Daphnia pulex: one gene and its partners. The protein of the gene in region 1 purifies or fractionates together with the protein of each later gene. This does not show direct contact. Links are inferred from orthologs where the notes say so. Each region holds a gene or a part of one and is shown on either strand. Other genes may lie near its edges. The genes, in order: U2 snRNP-associated SURP motif-containing protein-like, calcium homeostasis endoplasmic reticulum protein-like and U2 small nuclear ribonucleoprotein A'-like.

What was found.
Region 2: the proteins of U2 snRNP-associated SURP motif-containing protein-like (region 1) and calcium homeostasis endoplasmic reticulum protein-like purify together in Homo sapiens (affinity purification with mass spectrometry; 4 studies listed by BioGRID and IntAct, with this or other methods). This does not show direct contact. The link is inferred for Daphnia pulex from reciprocal best matches to the Homo sapiens genes U2SURP and CHERP.
Region 3: the proteins of U2 snRNP-associated SURP motif-containing protein-like (region 1) and U2 small nuclear ribonucleoprotein A'-like purify together in Homo sapiens (affinity purification with mass spectrometry; 5 studies listed by BioGRID and IntAct, with this or other methods). This does not show direct contact. The link is inferred for Daphnia pulex from reciprocal best matches to the Homo sapiens genes U2SURP and SNRPA1.

What each region holds. Positions count from the first base shown.
Region 1 is NC_060023.1:3,574,834-3,579,872, reverse strand, and holds the end of U2 snRNP-associated SURP motif-containing protein-like, read right to left. Parts: intron 4,842-5,039; coding exon 4,737-4,841; intron 4,666-4,736; coding exon 4,550-4,665; intron 4,494-4,549; coding exon 4,379-4,493; intron 4,316-4,378; coding exon 4,153-4,315; intron 4,084-4,152; coding exon 3,817-4,083; intron 3,748-3,816; coding exon 3,630-3,747; intron 3,570-3,629; coding exon 3,447-3,569; intron 3,384-3,446; coding exon 3,062-3,383; intron 2,998-3,061; coding exon 2,850-2,997; intron 2,762-2,849; coding exon 2,571-2,761; intron 2,466-2,570; coding exon 2,391-2,465; intron 2,254-2,390; coding exon 2,142-2,253; 3' UTR 2,032-2,141; downstream 1-2,031.
Region 2 is NC_060023.1:8,901,738-8,908,077, reverse strand, and holds calcium homeostasis endoplasmic reticulum protein-like, read right to left. Parts: upstream 4,277-6,340; 5' UTR 4,163-4,276; coding exon 4,138-4,162; intron 4,076-4,137; coding exon 3,636-4,075; intron 3,578-3,635; coding exon 3,286-3,577; intron 3,219-3,285; coding exon 2,471-3,218; intron 2,388-2,470; coding exon 1,968-2,387; intron 1,897-1,967; coding exon 1,752-1,896; intron 1,687-1,751; coding exon 1,522-1,686; 3' UTR 1,467-1,521; downstream 1-1,466. Other genes in the region: TELO2-interacting protein 1 homolog, read left to right, coding at 1-1,115, 1,180-1,299, 1,361-1,453; uncharacterized protein LOC124197929, read left to right, coding at 5,633-6,340. UniProt on the Homo sapiens protein: Involved in calcium homeostasis, growth and proliferation.
Region 3 is NC_060021.1:10,325,573-10,330,975, reverse strand, and holds U2 small nuclear ribonucleoprotein A'-like, read left to right. Parts: upstream 1-3,226; 5' UTR 3,227-3,369; coding exon 3,370-3,451; intron 3,452-3,588; coding exon 3,589-3,629; intron 3,630-3,688; coding exon 3,689-3,795; intron 3,796-3,859; coding exon 3,860-4,088; intron 4,089-4,151; coding exon 4,152-4,266; intron 4,267-4,328; coding exon 4,329-4,481; intron 4,482-4,544; coding exon 4,545-4,588; 3' UTR 4,589-4,718; downstream 4,719-5,403. Other genes in the region: lariat debranching enzyme B-like, read right to left, coding at 1,060-1,630, 1,687-1,835, 1,900-2,086, 2,158-2,258, 2,316-2,607, 2,677-2,873. UniProt on the Homo sapiens protein: Involved in pre-mRNA splicing as component of the spliceosome. Associated with sn-RNP U2, where it contributes to the binding of stem loop IV of U2 snRNA.

The DNA of each region.
Region 1 (5,039 bases):
TTGAAATTTGCGAGCTAGCCAAGAGTTGGGAAGATTTGGGAATGTCTGGGGTCCCGATGTGGCATAAGTGTCGCTCCTTTTTGTGTTTCAGATCGTTTTCCACCCAGTCGTATTCAAAGCATGTTTTTTTTTGTATTTTTTTTTCTTTATGTTAAACTAAACAAATTACTCTCCCAGCCCTCCGTCTTAATTCTTTTTCTTCCATTGGAAATTTGATATTTATTTTAATTTTCTATTCTTTAAAATTCCGGCACTAATAAGAGCTAAAACATTAATGTACTCCTATTTTCTAGTCTGGTCTCCAGCCTCAAAGCCATCTGATGGGATTTGTATTCGTCAGATTGGAAGGAAAAGTGTGGAAAATTGAAATTCCCCGTCTCTCCTAGCTTCTGTCCTTTTTTCTAATTTTTTTCTACTTTTATTTTATTTTTTTTTGTCACGAAAGAAAAATTCGAGCGTCTGGCTTGATCTATAAATCTGTGGTTATACCTCTCGTCCAGCCCAACGAAGAACAAAAGATACGAAAAGAAACCAGTATGAAAACGTCAGCTGTAAATTTTTGTTTTTCAATCGCTGCGAGATCCAGTGGAAATTGAAACAGGATTTCCTTGAATATGATGAATGATTTATTACCATTGGGGTATTTTTTTTGGTGTGCTCAATACAGGTTCCAGACAGAACGCTTAATGTGCATGTGAACTCTTTTATCAGAAGGGCTAGAAGAAGAAGAAAAAACAAACTCGTTTGTCTCGCCATCCGTCTTTATTTTTTTTCCGGGGTAATCAGATATATTTTTGGATGGGCCGCTGTGGTTGTATACAGGCATGGCAAATGTCTGAAAGTTTAGTTTCAAATAGTAGCGACGACTCGATAAACTACTACCACAACGTCACTCATGTCCTCACCACTCGACATTGAAAATTTCCAACCGGCTTTCCTCCCCCCTCGTCTAGCTTACATGTCACACCTTCCAACTGTTTGTTTAGATCGTTAGCTCTTCTTCCTGTTGGGTTCACTGATCTTCTTCAGCTGGAAAGCAACTTCTAGCGCCCCTCCCTCCTTTATCTCTCTCTCTCTCTCTCTCTACAGCTTCACGTGCCCGCCCAATCCCCCCTTTATAGCTCCTCTTTTTTTTTCACTTATTCCAGCCATGGAATGCATCGTAACCGAGACTTCTTTTTTTTTCTTTTTTCTTATATTACTAATGGGTCCTCTTGTACCATCTTCTTATTTTCGTCATCAAACTGTGCTCCCCTTTTGCAATTAAGAAATAATAAAAGATTCGCGCGCGCGTGTTTGTGTGTGTATCAGTATCCAAACTATTTTTTCCTTTGCTCTGCCAATTTGAGAAAAAAAATCCCTCTTCTTCGGTGGCGGATTCTTCCTGTGGCAGAACCCCACCGATTTTTTTTTTCTTCCTTGCCCTCTTTTCTTATTTTTTTTATTTTTAATTTTTATTATTTTCTTGTTTGTCTCGGTTTCCTGTGGCTGTAACAATAAAAAAAAATTCCACCATTTGCTGAAACATAAGCGATTCCAAACTGTATTCTTTTCCGTTTGTTGTGTGTGCTCCTCGCCCTCGTTTACTTGTGTGTGATACCATCTGGTGTGTATGTGTGTGTGTGTGTGGCCAGAATGTGGTAGAGACGTGTGTGTCATTCTCCGAAGGGTGATTTGCACATAACCTCTATTTTTGGAGAGACTCACTAGTATACGAAACCTGGGAAAAAGCAAAAACAATATAGATCCATGTGTGGAAGTAGGTGAGCAGCAAGGCCAGAGTTGTGTTGCCCGGCTCGGACTTCAACTGCAGACAGCGTAAACATCTGTGACGCGTCCCAAGTGCGTTCACGTATAAGTGTGAGAGGGATTTAAAAACGAGGACGTCGTCCCGGCCAACGACCGCCGACCAGGTTCGTCTCGTTAACCAGGTATTTGCTCCCACACACACACACAGGGGCACGCAGGGGTAAACAGTCGAATTCCCGATCGGTCTATACGACAACTGGCCACGAAACGACGGCTGTTGGATACCGCTAGAAGGCAGATTGTATTGAATACCAAAAAAAGCAAAAGTTGAACAACATCCGAGGGAACACGAAATTTGGAAAACTGCACCACCAAACAGCAGTCGAATCGTTTCATTTCAAATTTTTGGATTTCTTCTGGTTCTTAGACGGCCTTCGTGGAGAAGTCGAACGGCTTCGAGAGCGGCGAGATCGTTTCGACGAGTCATCGCTTTTTGATCTTGACCTATAAAATGTAATCATCATCCATTTAGTAGTAGTAGTAGTAATGGTAGTATTCGGTAAACGCTATAAAAGGACTCTGCACGCAGCAGTCCTTTTAATCACGAAATCTATCGACACGCTGCGGATGAATCATCATACCTCCGGGGGGTTCTTCGTAAAGTGTGACTCGGACTGGACGACCTCGATGATCTCGTTCGTTTTGATCGCGATGACCTAAAGGCAGCATAATTACACGGATGGCCAACAAATCATTCATTTGGGGTGGGGTCAAATGTCAAATTTGGGCGTGTTCAAATGTCAAACGAAGTTTCGACTTACTTTCTTGGCGATCTGGAACGAGACCTTGATCTGGAAATTGAACGTCGTCTATCTTTTTCTTTATAACGTTCCCTGTCAGTTGCCTGTCGACCAGAACCACGATCTGATTTCTCGGTACTGTGAGGCGTGCGCCGTTCTCTAGATTCGCGATCTCGACCGTCAACTGTTTCTTGGGAACGATCCCGTTTTGACTGTAACACGAAATCAAAGAAGGGAACCAGTGATTAACATCGCCAATTTATACCAAGTATTAGATATAAAGAATCTATTCTTTTTAACCTTGCGTAAAAGATGTTCGCGGTATTGTTGAACTTGTTCTGAAACTGACATGCCCGGAATCTGATTATGTAGTCCGGCTTCGAGTTCATCTTGGTAGCGAACGACTTTCAGTTCAAGCTCTCGCAGTTTCCCACGTTGATCCTCATTCCTAAAACATTCAGACAAAATTGGGAGTCGGTCAAGCAAAATGTATTGTAATTAACAATTACTACCTAGAACCGGAGCTGTGTCGCGTTGCCTCTGGTGACGAGTCAAGGGGCGCACCGTCGAGATCTTCATCTGAAGCAGCTCCTCTTTGTTTAGTGCTCTCCAGATCCGCAAAGATGTCCTCATTATGTTTGGCTCTACTCTTTTTTCTTGACGGCTCATTTGACTCTGAATCGGGGTCGATATTGTCCCACTTGCTAGTGGCTACAACCGGCGCCGGTGTTTCCCATTTGGAAGTTGATGATGACTTAGTTTCACGTCTCCGGTCTCTTCGCACTACCGGTGAAGACGAGCTTTTTATCGGGACTCCGTCCAAATCTTCAGACACTAATAACATTTATAAAAATTTTAATAGGTGAATTAATTAATTATTATAAAAATCAATTTTACTAGGCACTCCATCAAAATCAGCGTCATATTTGTTTGATTTCGTAACTGTAAATGAACGAGCTGGAGAACTAGTTTGGAGTTTGACTGCACTCCTCAAAAGAGCCGCACCGTCCAAAGGTACACCTGAAAAAAGAAAAAATTATTAAATTACTTGTACTTCAAAAACTTGTATTTGAAATAAACCATCCAAATCTTCGGAATCACTGAGTGGAGCTCCGTCGATTGCTTCTGCATCGTCAAGTGGAATGCCGTCGACGTCTTCAACGTTGCCTGAAGTCCGTTGAGAAACATCTTGATCGGCCTTTAAAGAAATCAAAATAATTAATGAAGTGTTGGAAAGATTTAAAAATAGAAAAAAAAAAAAACTTACAGAGACAAGGCCCAGAAAGACATTTTGCAAATGAATGAGGAATTCGGCTGGATAGACATTCCATTCTTCCCAAGCTCGAAAGCAGAGCATAACTCGTTGTCGAAAAGCTTCGGCTTTCAATCGGCTCTCGGTCGCCTCGTACGCTTGATGCATATAATTGACTATTTCCACCATGTGTGACTGGAATCCCGAACGGAAACTGGAAGCATTGACCGCCTTTGCAGACGAGTTGTAAAGGACGTCTGATACCAAAAAAAATCTTCCCAACTGAAAAAAACAAAAACAAGATTAAATTAAGTAGGTTTCTTCCAACTTGGAAGTCACGACTTAAATTACCTTTTGAGGAATATAGGTTTTGACACTATTGAGTGACTCGGTAACGAAATCGATGATTTCCTCGTAAGCTTCGGCGTGCTCGATGCAAAAAATCATAGCTTCCGCTACTTTGGATTTTTCAGGAGTCAATTTTCTCAACATCAATTCTAGTCGTTTCTTTTGACTATGGATTTGAACGTAAATTAGAATTGCTTAATGAATTAGAAAAAATAATTGTAGTAAATACGATTTGCTGAGCGATCGTCGGCGACTCTCATCATCTTCCTCGTCGGACGAGAAAAGTTCGTCTGGCATGCCCTCAGAAAACGGGTTCATAGACGGGGGTTTCCAGATGGAACCGCCTATTAATTTTTAAAAATGAGCGCTGGATAATTTACAGAATAAAAAGAAATTTTACCTTTAAACATGCGAAAGTCTTCTGTGGACCACACATTACCAGACTCGCCTTGTAGGATTGAGAACAATTTCCAGCGATAGTAAATGTGAGCTGGACTCCGGTTTTCAAATAGAAACCTGATTGCAAAAGTAAAAAAGAAATAATAATTACTATCCAACAACATTTTTAGAAAAGACAATTTAGGTACCTGAATTGCTGGTTATCAATTTCCTTGTTCATCACCATGGCCTCAAGCATTGGGCCCTCTCGAACAACAGATTCGATCATTCGATGAATCAAACACAACAAATTTCTGTGTACGCCAGTTCCAGAAAACCAAGTTCAACATACGTATGACACGCACAAATGTCAATCGTACAGATTTACGTGGTGATAAAAATGAAAATGTTAAGATTAGCTACCGACTTAAAAAATTTTGTTCGATGATTTAAAAGAAGTGGGTCAATTGAAAAAGCAAAATTTCTTTCTTTTTTTTTTTGGTCAAGCATTC
Region 2 (6,340 bases), about 5.3 Mb from region 1:
CGATTCAAATGGGGACTGACTTTTCGTCCATGTTGCTAACTGCCCTGAAACCTGTGTTGGAAAAAGCCGGCAATCCGGACTTCTGTGAAGCAGGAGTTCGGTCCCTTCAATGTATGACAGATGCATTGCGTCTAACTTCTGTATCCAAGCTACTCGAAGAGAATGCAGACTACTATGCACCCCAGTTGACCTTCCAATTACGAAACATCGTTCGATATCCGCGCGCAATTGATCTACTCCGAGCGTTACTGATGCTTTCCGACATTCGCATGGAACACTGGCTGGAACGAATGGTTGAACATGCTTTGAAAGGACTGGACAAGAGTCATTCTCTCCGAGCTCTTCCATACGTCCAGGTACTTGAACTGTATTCGAAAGCCGCGCACAACACGAGACCTGCCGGACCAGCCTGCGCTAAACCTCTATCGAAAGGCGAAACTCTTGAAAAAGAGGAATTAATCCAGCGCATTGTTGATTACAAAGCAAACATTAAGCTGAGTGAGACATATTTGGAAACAAATGAAGAAGAAGAAATTTGTGATGCTAATACGGAAGAACCGGAACAGATCGATGATCCTGAAGTCGAAGAAGAAAAAAAGGTGATCCCACCTCAAATTACTCTTGTAGCCGATATTTTGGATCGCTGCACGAAGATATTGCCACAATCTACCGAAGAAAAACTCTACGCCAGTTTGATGCAAACCATTTGCTTATCAGTAGAGGTGCTTTCTTCTCACGAAGATATTTTTTTGCCGAAAGTGCACAAACTTTGGGAGCCTTTAAAGAATCAGCTGTTGGGAACATCACATCTCAAACAGAGGCAGGCGTTTGAGATTTTCCTTTCATTAGTTCGTCGCTGCCCAGATTTTATTCGCCATCGAGCTGTCAAAGAAATTCTTCATAAATTGGTGCTATTCCTGCAAAGCCAGGCTACTGCTAGTCGTGGCCGATCTAGCAGAGCGCACATTGCCAGCCAGTCGTACAAATTACAAAAATCCGTACTATCCGCCATGGCCACCCTAGTTGAATTCATCGATCCACCTGTATTGGAAGTTTGTAAAATCGTTCAAGCGATTTCTTTGTACCTCAGCAACCAACAGATTTCAGAACTTCAGGTTTGCAACTATTCTTCCTTATGCTCTTAATAATATCCTATTGAGTATCGTGTTTGTTGTTTAGAGTTTAGCAAAGGACAACTTGGTCGCCATAGCCAAATATCACTCGGGGTCCGTTTGGTTAACTTTACATAGCATGGTGTCTAGACGGACTTTAACACGCCCAGGTTTTCGATCCATCATGGTAAAATTGCGTGCATGATTATATTGACTCGATTTTTTTTAATCAATCTAATATTTCTTAGGTTGGTACTACAAACGACGAAAGTGAATTTACAGTCAACGCTGAAGAATTGGTCAAACAGCTGTTCCCCCTTACTTGTTCAGGTCACCATTAAACGGATATCAAGGTATAGACGAATCGACTGTATTTCGTGAGTTAAGCAAAAGTAGAGTGAGTGAATTCTCATGGAGTTGGAGGATCGTCAGGTCCGCCCTTTTCTTTTTCTCGTTCTTCGGCCCTTGAGCGCATTCTCGTGATGAACGCCTGACCTTTGCTTTTTCGGAAATTTTCAAAAGGATCACGTATATTGATACCGACACCTTTGAACTGGTCCAAACGATCGCGAACCTGAAGAACGAAAAATATCAATCCGCTATTCTGTTGACACAAAAATAGTACCGTTCGATCAATACCTCTCCTCCTTTGATGGGTTCCGCTATGCCTTGTTCATTTGCGCCGAGTCCAGCTCCTCCCCAACCCATTTTGCACAAGAGTTGATGCCCTCGGTTGTTTTCGTCCAGCTTTGTCGTGAAACCTTTGGCAAACGACACGGATGCACTGCAAAACGCCGAATCAAATTTAACCAAATCACATTGACCTAACTTAAGGAAAAAAAAGGGGTTGGTTACATTTCTGAAGGTGGCGTGGGGCTCCGCTTTTGCGCAAAACCGGTCATCGTGACGGGCGAATTAGATCTTGATTCCGAACGACTAGGTGTAGGAGAACGAGAGCGTGCAGCTCGACGGGGCGACTCTGAATTAGATCGACTTCGGCGACGTCTTGTTGAATTTCTAGGCGATCTGGATCGTGATCGAGCTTGCCTCGATTCTTCTCTATGCTCTTCCTCGGGCGACTCACTGCGGAATCTTCGACGCACGGGACTTCTGATTCCATTCTTACCACTTCTTTCAGGGGAATGATCCTCGACAACTTCGATAGGAGTTCGAGGCGGCGACATGTCGCGTAATCCCTGAGCAATATCTTCTTCTTTCTTCTTTTTCGCAGTTGCCTTGTTCTTATAAAACTCGAAAAGAGCCATCTGCTCCCACCTAAAAAAAAAAACAAGAAAGAGAAAAGTTGAGAAGAAGAAGCTTGAATGATAAGCCAACAAGAAAGGAAATCTATCACGAACCCATCTGCGTTTCGTGGTCGGTCGTGCGAGAGAGGACTGTAGAAGAAATCAATGGCGGCAATCAATCGCTCAGACGGTGGGAGCGGTGCAGGAAGGCGGATATCTTTCGGATCGATGCTTTTGTACTCGCTGTCTTCCATTCTCACCAGTGGGACGAGTAATCCCGCTGGTAAGTCGAAGTAGGGAGCCTTTGGTTCAATTCCTTCACACGGGTAGTTTTGCGGGGCATTAAGGGAAGCAACTGGCGGCGGGCGAGATAAGAAATCCGGCGGCATGGCGTGATGAGGTGCATTAAAAGACTGCAAAGCATTGGCCGCCGCGATTTGTTCTTCAATTTGCAGTTTCTGTTGCTCTAGCTGCTGAATCTGGTGGTTGGCATGATTGACGAAGGCTTGATGCTGGCCGCGGTAGTTTTCGTACGTATGCTGAATGTTGCTAGTTGAAGCTGCTACGGCTGCCGAGTATTTGGCCACTAGACTGTTGTGGTATTCATTCCAGATGTGTAAAGGTGCGTGTAACCTTTCCAGGACACCACGCTCAAACAAATTATTTTTCGTTTGCCACAAAACGACCAGTTTTTGCAATTTGGCGTTTTGCTCCTCGTCGGTTGCAGACAGACTAGTGTTTGAAAACATGTGGACGACAACTTGTTCGAGTGTCTTTAAAAGCGTGTCGGGTCCTTTGCGGAGACAATGGTGTAACACGTCGTTGACCAAATAGATCAAGTGAAGTTTGTGGGTAAATTGACCTGTTGATTCAGAAAGAAAAAAAAATGCTCAGGCAATGCCAAGTAGCCACAACAGAGGAAAACTTACTGCTTTGAGTTGTTTTGAAAAGGAGATATTGTGCTATGGCATCAGAGGATGAATGAGGCTGCATCACATGATGGAGAATCCAAGCTTTACCCTGAGATATGGATTCTTTGGTGCAAGAATCCATGATAGGCAGTAAAAGCAATTCTAACTCTGCCAAATTCATTCCACTTGCCAACGCTTTTTCCATGACTTCTTTTTCGTGTTGCAACTTGACTGTTTCCTCTGTCTGCTTTTTCTGCTGTTGCACTGTCACTTGATGTTGAGCGGCCAAGTTGCTTTCACTTTGTTTGATCTGGTGAACCAAACCAATTAGTATTTACTATTTTTGATATGATCTGGAGTATGTTTACCTGTTCCTGCAGTTGAGTTTGTTGGGCAACGAGTACATCTTTTGCACCTTTTAAAGCAATCAAATCTGTTTGAGGAGGGATGGGATTTTGTCCAGGAAATGACATCTGATTGGGCATTGATGGCTGTGGGTGAGCCCTAGGCCATGCAGAAGAAGGGCCATAGTTGTAATTCCTATTGAAACTGGGATGTTCTGTATTAGGCGGTGGGCCATAGTTGATTGGATAGCTCATGGGTTGACTTTGCTCTCGGACAAACTTTTGCTTGTTAATTGCTTGCTCTGTTGTCACACGGTACTGGTAGTAGTTGAAAAGTTCCCCACCAAACAGGAAACCAAACTTGGGGTTATCTCGTTGTTTGTTTTTCGTCATTTGCTCAAATTCGGGACCATTTCTCGCCACAAATTGAGCTAACTTGTCAATAATGTTGCGCAGTTCTATGTCTATAAAAATATTTGTTGTGAACAAATTGATGAGGAGATTTTTCAATTTAAACGGTTATTACCTTCGGGAGGACGAGGTAGATCCATTGCAGAGTTTTATGTTTTAAAACTTTAATTAAACTTTAGGCAATCAAAAACACACATACATATGCAACTGTGAATTGTTTCGATGCCGGCATTAATAGTTCGTGTTGAATTCCGCCAGAGTCTAGTAAACGGTGCGTTTTTGCTAAACTAGATGGCGTGAAGTTCGGTGCGAATAGTAAATTCCCTAACGTGTGACAAGAATTTCAATTGGGGAAAAATTTCTTGTTTGTATACATCGAATGCAGCTTTCCATATTTATGAGTATATGCTTCTTTGTAATTCAAACTCGTTTTCCACATAATTAAAGGTTGATATGATGTGTTGACGCGTTAAGTTCCAATCTCTTTCCTCGTCTCGCTGGGGGGGAGTCTGACTCTCTCTCTCGCGCTGCAGGTCGTGTCATCACACGCAAAGTAATCGGTCAACCAACAATTACAGCAGTAGCACACATGAATAGATACATCAACTCTCAAACGGACAGTTCGCTTTTTCTTCGCTATTTCAAAATGCGTTCTTGGCAGGGTCCCAATCGAACGATGTGTCGCAACAAAAGACACACCAAATATCATAACTCTTTGTCCCAGATGAACTACCTCTTTTTTAATATGACAGTGTTTCGGGGCAATGATGACCAGTGGAAGACCATTTTTTTCGCCTGTTCTTCTTCCTATTTCCGTTCTCGACCGTTCGGGTAACATAATAGCTTGAGTGGGCGGCTGCGAATGCCAATAATATACATCAGCAGTGTGTGTGTGTGTGTGTGTGTGTATGCGAGTGTGTGTGTATGGCGCCCAAAATAGTAGCACACTGCATCCAACTTGAGCCAAGTTTTAAAATATTTGGAAGCAACTGCGAAAAAAAGGGCGAACACCAGACCAGAAAGAAAATGAGAAGCGCGTCGTGTAGGAAAAAGAAAAATTCAAACTAAAAACAAACAAATTTGCCAGTTTTTCGTGGGCAAAGTTAGTCGGCGATCGGGTCGTGAGCAAATCGGCCGCATACAAAATCTTCTTCCTTGTTCTAATATTAAAATAATTGGAGGAAAAAAGTCGTTGGCGTTGGAAAGAATTCGACAGATTGTGTGTGAATCGAAATAAGTGTATTTGTTCAAGTGGAAATGAAATAACCCAAAATATTTTTGACTGATTGTGTAAAGTGCTCTTTCGTTTCAATTTGATCCAAATCATTCAAAACAACATTTTATTTCTTCCACTCGATTTTCAGAGATCCGGAGGGAGGTCCAGTAGCTCGTCGAATGGCGCCGAGATGGTTGGGTGTTGTGTTTGATTCATATGCCAAAACACGAGCCCTTTTTTGAAAAAAAGTTGACCTTCAATCAACTTCGTATTCCGACGTTGCGGAGTGAGAGGAATGAGATGCGAGTCTGGCAGACGATAGCTGAATCGTGAGACGAGGCATGCGTTGTGCCACATTGGCTGCCGGGAAGGCTCGGATTCCGCTCGGACGACCATGTCAGTCAAAGCGGAATTGAACGACGAGACTAAATTCATGGATCTAAGTGCCATCGGGTGCAGTTTGTTACTGGAACAGCCCAACTACACTTGTGCTGGTGGTGCTCGATCAGATACCAGCATCACGGTGACCATGTCCGGGCCCAACGCCATATCCGGTCAAGGCGGAATCTACCAGTCCAGCAACTACCTTAGTCCACGTCAGGCTCCTCCTCCGCCCTATCCTGGCGGACTGACGCCTTACCAAACGCCTTACCATTCGCCCTACGTCAGCCCTTATGCAACGCCGTTCCAAACACCGTCGCCGAGCCCCCTGTCGTCAGTCCAATCCAGTCCGGGCACTTCCACGTGCCACAGGACAAAAGGCCCTGGCATCGACGACGAATTGGCAATGATCCTCGAAAGTGATCCATTCATTTGGGAACAGCAGCCTGGCAATATTCAATCGGCGATTCAGGAAACAATCAAGCAACCACCGCCACCTTATCCGCTACAGCCGGATCGGGTCACAGGACGTCCACCGCATCCGCGCTCGTCCCCGACGACCCAACCGTCACGGACCCAATTGAAACAGCAACTTCAGCGACAACAACTGGAGCAGCAGGAGCGTCGCGAGCGCGAACTAATCAAACTCCACCAATCCGCCGGAAGGGCGGCCAGTTGCCCTTCTGAGAAACTGGGGATTCCCATCATCGTCCCGCCTCAG
Region 3 (5,403 bases), on another chromosome or scaffold:
AACTGAATATAAGAGGAAAACGTCCTCGACGTCCGTAACGATGTCAAGTCTGAATGGGAGAACGTGTGCGTTGCATGCTTTCTTCTCACGTTCCAGCCACCTGTCCCACCCGGAACACACTTTAACTTCAGGTATTTTGTTCTACATTTTAGTTTTTGGAGTTGCAACTAACGTTTACCAATCGATATAGTGATCCATTGGTTTCTCATTTTTATCTACATCCAAGGCTGTGAGATCACCTTTGAAGATTATTAAACAAGGACCAGATCTCAGACCTAAAAATTCTAGGAGGACAGAACCTTCCGTGTTTGGTATGTTTAAAATGAGCTTGTTGGTATTTTTAAACAGACAGTGGATTGACTTCTTTTATGATTAATAAAGGTTGTACTGCAATCAATACAAGATGGATATAGATCGTGTCTCGCATAATAGAGAAGGAGTAAACGATTCATTCAACATTATGATTCGACGTAAATTAAAGGAGAACAACTTCAAAGCAGTGCTGAAAACATCCTAGACTTAAACACGGATTCTTGACTACGATGACACAGGAGCGGCCCACTACTCCAAAATGACCAATCAAATTCCAGTATTGGATTTCAACGACACATTCTTACTTTACTTAGTTTTCAGAACCCGCATAACGGAGAAATTAATTTAAATATTCCACGGACATAAAATTGTCCAATACAATTTTCCGGTAAAAAACTTCCCCTACAAATCCTAAGAATTTGCAACTATGTTGGGATGGATTGGTGCAAATATGCAAACATTCGTACAATTATTTTGTCTTAATTTCATATCTTCTCCTATCTAGCTCATTCCATATTGGCTATAACATTTTTCTATCTTGAATATTAGCTACAACTGTGATGTTTCAAGGTAAACGTACTCTGCCTATCTTGCCTTCTGAAAACTACCTACTTAAATAAGAATACAACTGTTGGAAAATTTAAAATGGCAAAAAACTTAAACGAAGTAAATAGATAGCAAAATATGCATTTTTTCCAAGTAGATTTTATTGAAAAATCAGGTCATCTCTTTTTTAATTTTTAAAAGCTATGTAGAACTTTCCGGGTCCATGTAAAGTTCTTGGTTGCGTCGTTTAAATTTCTTTACGGTAGTAGGTACATCTTGATCATCTACTTTAGCACTTGAATCGTTTTCATCCAAAATCCCTCCTAAGGGAGCTTCCTTTTCCGCAGTATGTGGTTCTTCCTCATGTGTTTCATTTTGCGGCTGCGGTAAACTCATTTTACTTCTCTTCAGCGGTTTGGTATCGACAAAGAATATACCATTGTCCTGCCCAGCTACCTCCTCAGTATGGTCACCTGTCTCTTCTTCTTCATCGTCATCTTCAAGAGCAATTTCGTCTGGATTAACTACGGGAGCAGTGAGGATAATCGGTTTCCCAATCAATTTTTCGAGGGGATCGTCGATACCAAGCTTTTCGCAAAATTGTGTAGTTTGAGGATTCAATTGCGCTTGTGCTTGCTGAGCATTTCTGTTGTAATTTGGTCGAGGCTTAAATGGTTCAGCAGTTAAGGAGAAATTTGACGGAATTTTGTAGTCGTTGTCAAAGATAGTTTTCACTTGTTCTATTTCTTCTTCGTTTGGATTAAAGTTCCATCTTACATAAAAAAAGGTCAGCATCCATAAAAATAAAAACTAATGCTTTTGTGTCACCTTTCAGTGCATCCAGGACCTCCACTTGGCATGTACTGAGTAGTTGGACGAACACTCATTAAATGGTTAGTTGACCGAAGAATTGCTAACCAATGCGGATCATAACACAACTCCAAATTTTGGGTGGAATCATGTGGAATTTCCACCAACTTTTAGATATACCCAACAGTTAAATTGTTAAATTTTTCGAGAATATTCTGAATTAAATCTTACTTCAAGGTACTGACGTCTTGGAAGACACTTATCAAGTGCTAGAAATTGAGTTGATTGTTTTTCATTATGTTGGATTGTAGCAGCAAACCTACAATGAAGGTGGGCAGCAAACCAATGTTTAGGCTTCAATTCGTGAAGTAATGTTTCTCCAGCTTGACTTCCCAATACATTTTGGGCTATCTCATCACTGGAAGGGGAAAGAAAGAAATGTGTAAATTGAATTGTGTTTTGGAACAATTAGGTAACACTATTTCAAACCGAAAGAATGGTTTCCAATGCAGAAGTTCTCTGGTATCTGCATAATTGTAGACACCACGAGGCCAATCATGTGAAATAAAAATATCTATGTCTTCTTTTAACTGAAAATTAAAAGACATTTAAGTTTTTAATCTTTAAAACAATCAAAATGTAATTACCTGTTTCAAGCGAAATACTTCAAGACTACGAACATGATAAGCTGATCTCATAGTGCTGTTTGTGTAGGGAGGTTTTTCAAAATGTCCTTTCAAGTAATCATGTCCTTTAAAGATGCCTGATATTCCCGCTATTCTGATGCCACCAAACTTGACTACACCAGCATAGCCAAGATAATATATATTTGGAGCAACCCAGCCTCCATATGCAAGTTCTTGTAGATAGTTTGATGCTTCATGATTGCCTCCAATGAAAATAGTTAAAATTGGTGCTTTCAATTCACCATTATAATACCTGATATTGAAAAAAACAGTAACAATTACAATAAACTCTTATTTGTCTAAAACAATTATAAATAAATACTTGTAGAATGTACAGATATGACGGAATTTGTCAGGTACTGCCATGCATTGTAAGTCACTTTCGTTTCGAACAGCTTGAAAATCTCCACAACAGATGAGCAAATCAACTTTGACATTTCTTTGCCTCGCCAAATTCTCGACAGACCGGTAAATTTGATCAAGTTCACCATGAGCGCACCCTTCAACAGCAATAATCATGTTTTATACTGTCTTTAACTTGATATTTTAAGATAAATGTCAAATGCTGTTTCAAAGTTGATAACTTGCTTTCAAGTTACAACACAAACTCAATATTTTGAAGTTGTTTACAGTTTTACTGGAAGCCGAATCGTTCGTGGCTATTGTCGTCTGCTTAAAACCTAGCGGCAAAAACACAGCCATTTTCATATATTTTCTAACGTTTATAATTTTTTTTAATTTTGTTGACAAATTTAAATACTTTAGTTTAGAAAAGTATTTATATTTCAAGATAAAAAGCTACAGATGCACAAAACCTTTGATAAAACTTTAGTTTGAAAAGTTAATTTCCTGTTTGGAAATGTATTCGGAAATGAGTTGCAACATCGCACATGGCGTCACTTAGATATCCCTAGATTTGTCAACTACAAACGTGCAAAAACATTTTGTTCAAGTTTTAATTGCATCTTTTCCCAAATTCAATTACGTGTTTAAGGTTTAAAAAGCCAAAAAGAAAATGGTGAAGTTGACGGCTGAGGTCATTCACTTGAGCCACCAGTACACGAATGCCATCAAAGAAAGAGAACTAGATTTAAGAGGTATGTAACCGGCGTTCAGCTTCAATCTCATTCAGTCAGTTACTAAAGTTCAAAAGTTTTTTGTGTTGGCTTAAAAAAAGTGATGTAATTGTAAAAATATTTCGTGAAAATACAGCTATTTTTTGTCATCATTTTAGGTTACAAGATTCCTGTAATTGAAAACCTAGGAGCAACTTTAGTAAGTAAATTTGTAGTGTAATCATGCTGAACAGTTACTGGAGTGTTTTCTTTTTTCAGGATCAGTTTGACACAATAGATTTTTCAGATAATGACATAAGGAAATTGGATGGTTTTCCCTTGCTGAGACGAATTAAAAGTCTTCTCCTAAACAACAACAGAATCTTGTAAGTTTTTTGTTGTATTATTCACAAATTTAATTTCATGCAAATGATTCTTTAAAATCTGTAGACGCATTGCTGATGGATTAGGTGAAGTCATTCCAAACCTCGAAACCCTTGTCCTGACAAATAATCATCTGCAAGAGTTGGGCGACCTTGACCCATTAGCAGAATTCTCTAAACTCACCTATTTAAGTCTACTGAGCAATCCTGTTGCAAATAAGCAACATTATCGTTCATATGTGATAAACAAGTTGCCAAGCCTGAGGGTGTTGGATTTTCGTAAAGTAAAACTTAAGGTAATAATGTTCTACCTGACATCAGGAATTTTCCTCCTTATTCATGTAAAACTTGATTTGAAGGAGAGAGAAGCCGCCCGAGACCTATTCAAATCAAAGAAAGGAAAAGTATTGGCGAAAGAAATCGCCCAGAAAAGCAAGTTTCTTTCAGCTGAAGCGGGAAATAAGGCACCGATAGGTAAAAAACACAAATGTTTTGTTTTGTTAGCCTAAGAAATGTTATTAAATTATTTTGTGTAGGTGGTGCATCTGCGGAGGAGGCTCGTGCAATCCGAGAAGCTGTTGCTAATGCCTCCACCTTGGAAGAGGTAGAACGTCTAAACCAAATGTTGAGGGCAGGTGTCGTACCTGGAAAAGCCACCCAAGGCTCCAGCAAAAACGGAAATGCAAATGGTAAATTCACATCCTGTCTTCAACTTCCTTGTTTCGTTTGTTAAAACTTTTGAATTGTTGTAGGTGAAGATATGGAGGAGGAAGAAGATGAACCCATGGAGAAATGACAATGCCATCACGGGTAAAAATTAATTTGTATCAAGCTGTTAATGTGAATGTGGGACTACACTTTGATAATAAAAATATCGCTACCCTAGAGTAAATAAGGTAGCAGAAAGATATTTTTGAAATTACAAATTGCCCGTCTAATTTGTGTCACAGTTAAAAGACCGAGAAGCGATTAAATTTGGTCATTTTAACAAAACTGTGTTGTGAAAAATGCGTAGCGAAACCAATTTTCAGTCATAGAATTAGATATGCTACATAGTGTGTATATCCTACGTGTATTCGGAAGAGGCTCATCTGCCATTTGCGGAATGAGTCATGCATAGAAGGCGGATGTGGGGGTGTGCGTTATTTTCAGCCGGACATGACGGGTTAGGAGTAGCTTGGAAACTGTAGACGATCTAATTTAGAGCGTTTCGTGTCCTTTCATTAACGAGCGTGCCCGTGCGTAAGTTTCGTTGTTTTGAGTAAGATTTTTGGCGCCCACTCCTATTTTTCCCGATACCACATCCGGAATATCATGAGCTAACACCGCCATGATGATGTGATAATGGCAGCAAACTTGGTTTGTAGGTTACAACTTACAGCTATACGAAAATCCAGAACTGATCGTTTTAAGTTCAAAATTCTACTAATATTTACAAATAAATCATTAGTATTTGATAATATCCAATACCATCGTTGGAGTCTTCACCGATAAAAAATGTGTTGAATGAATACAGCATAATTCGTTAGTACATGGAAGATATCGGGTTTTCTCTTACAGATAAGTAACAAGAAAAAAAACAAGAAACTTTTCTTATTTTTTTTTTATGTG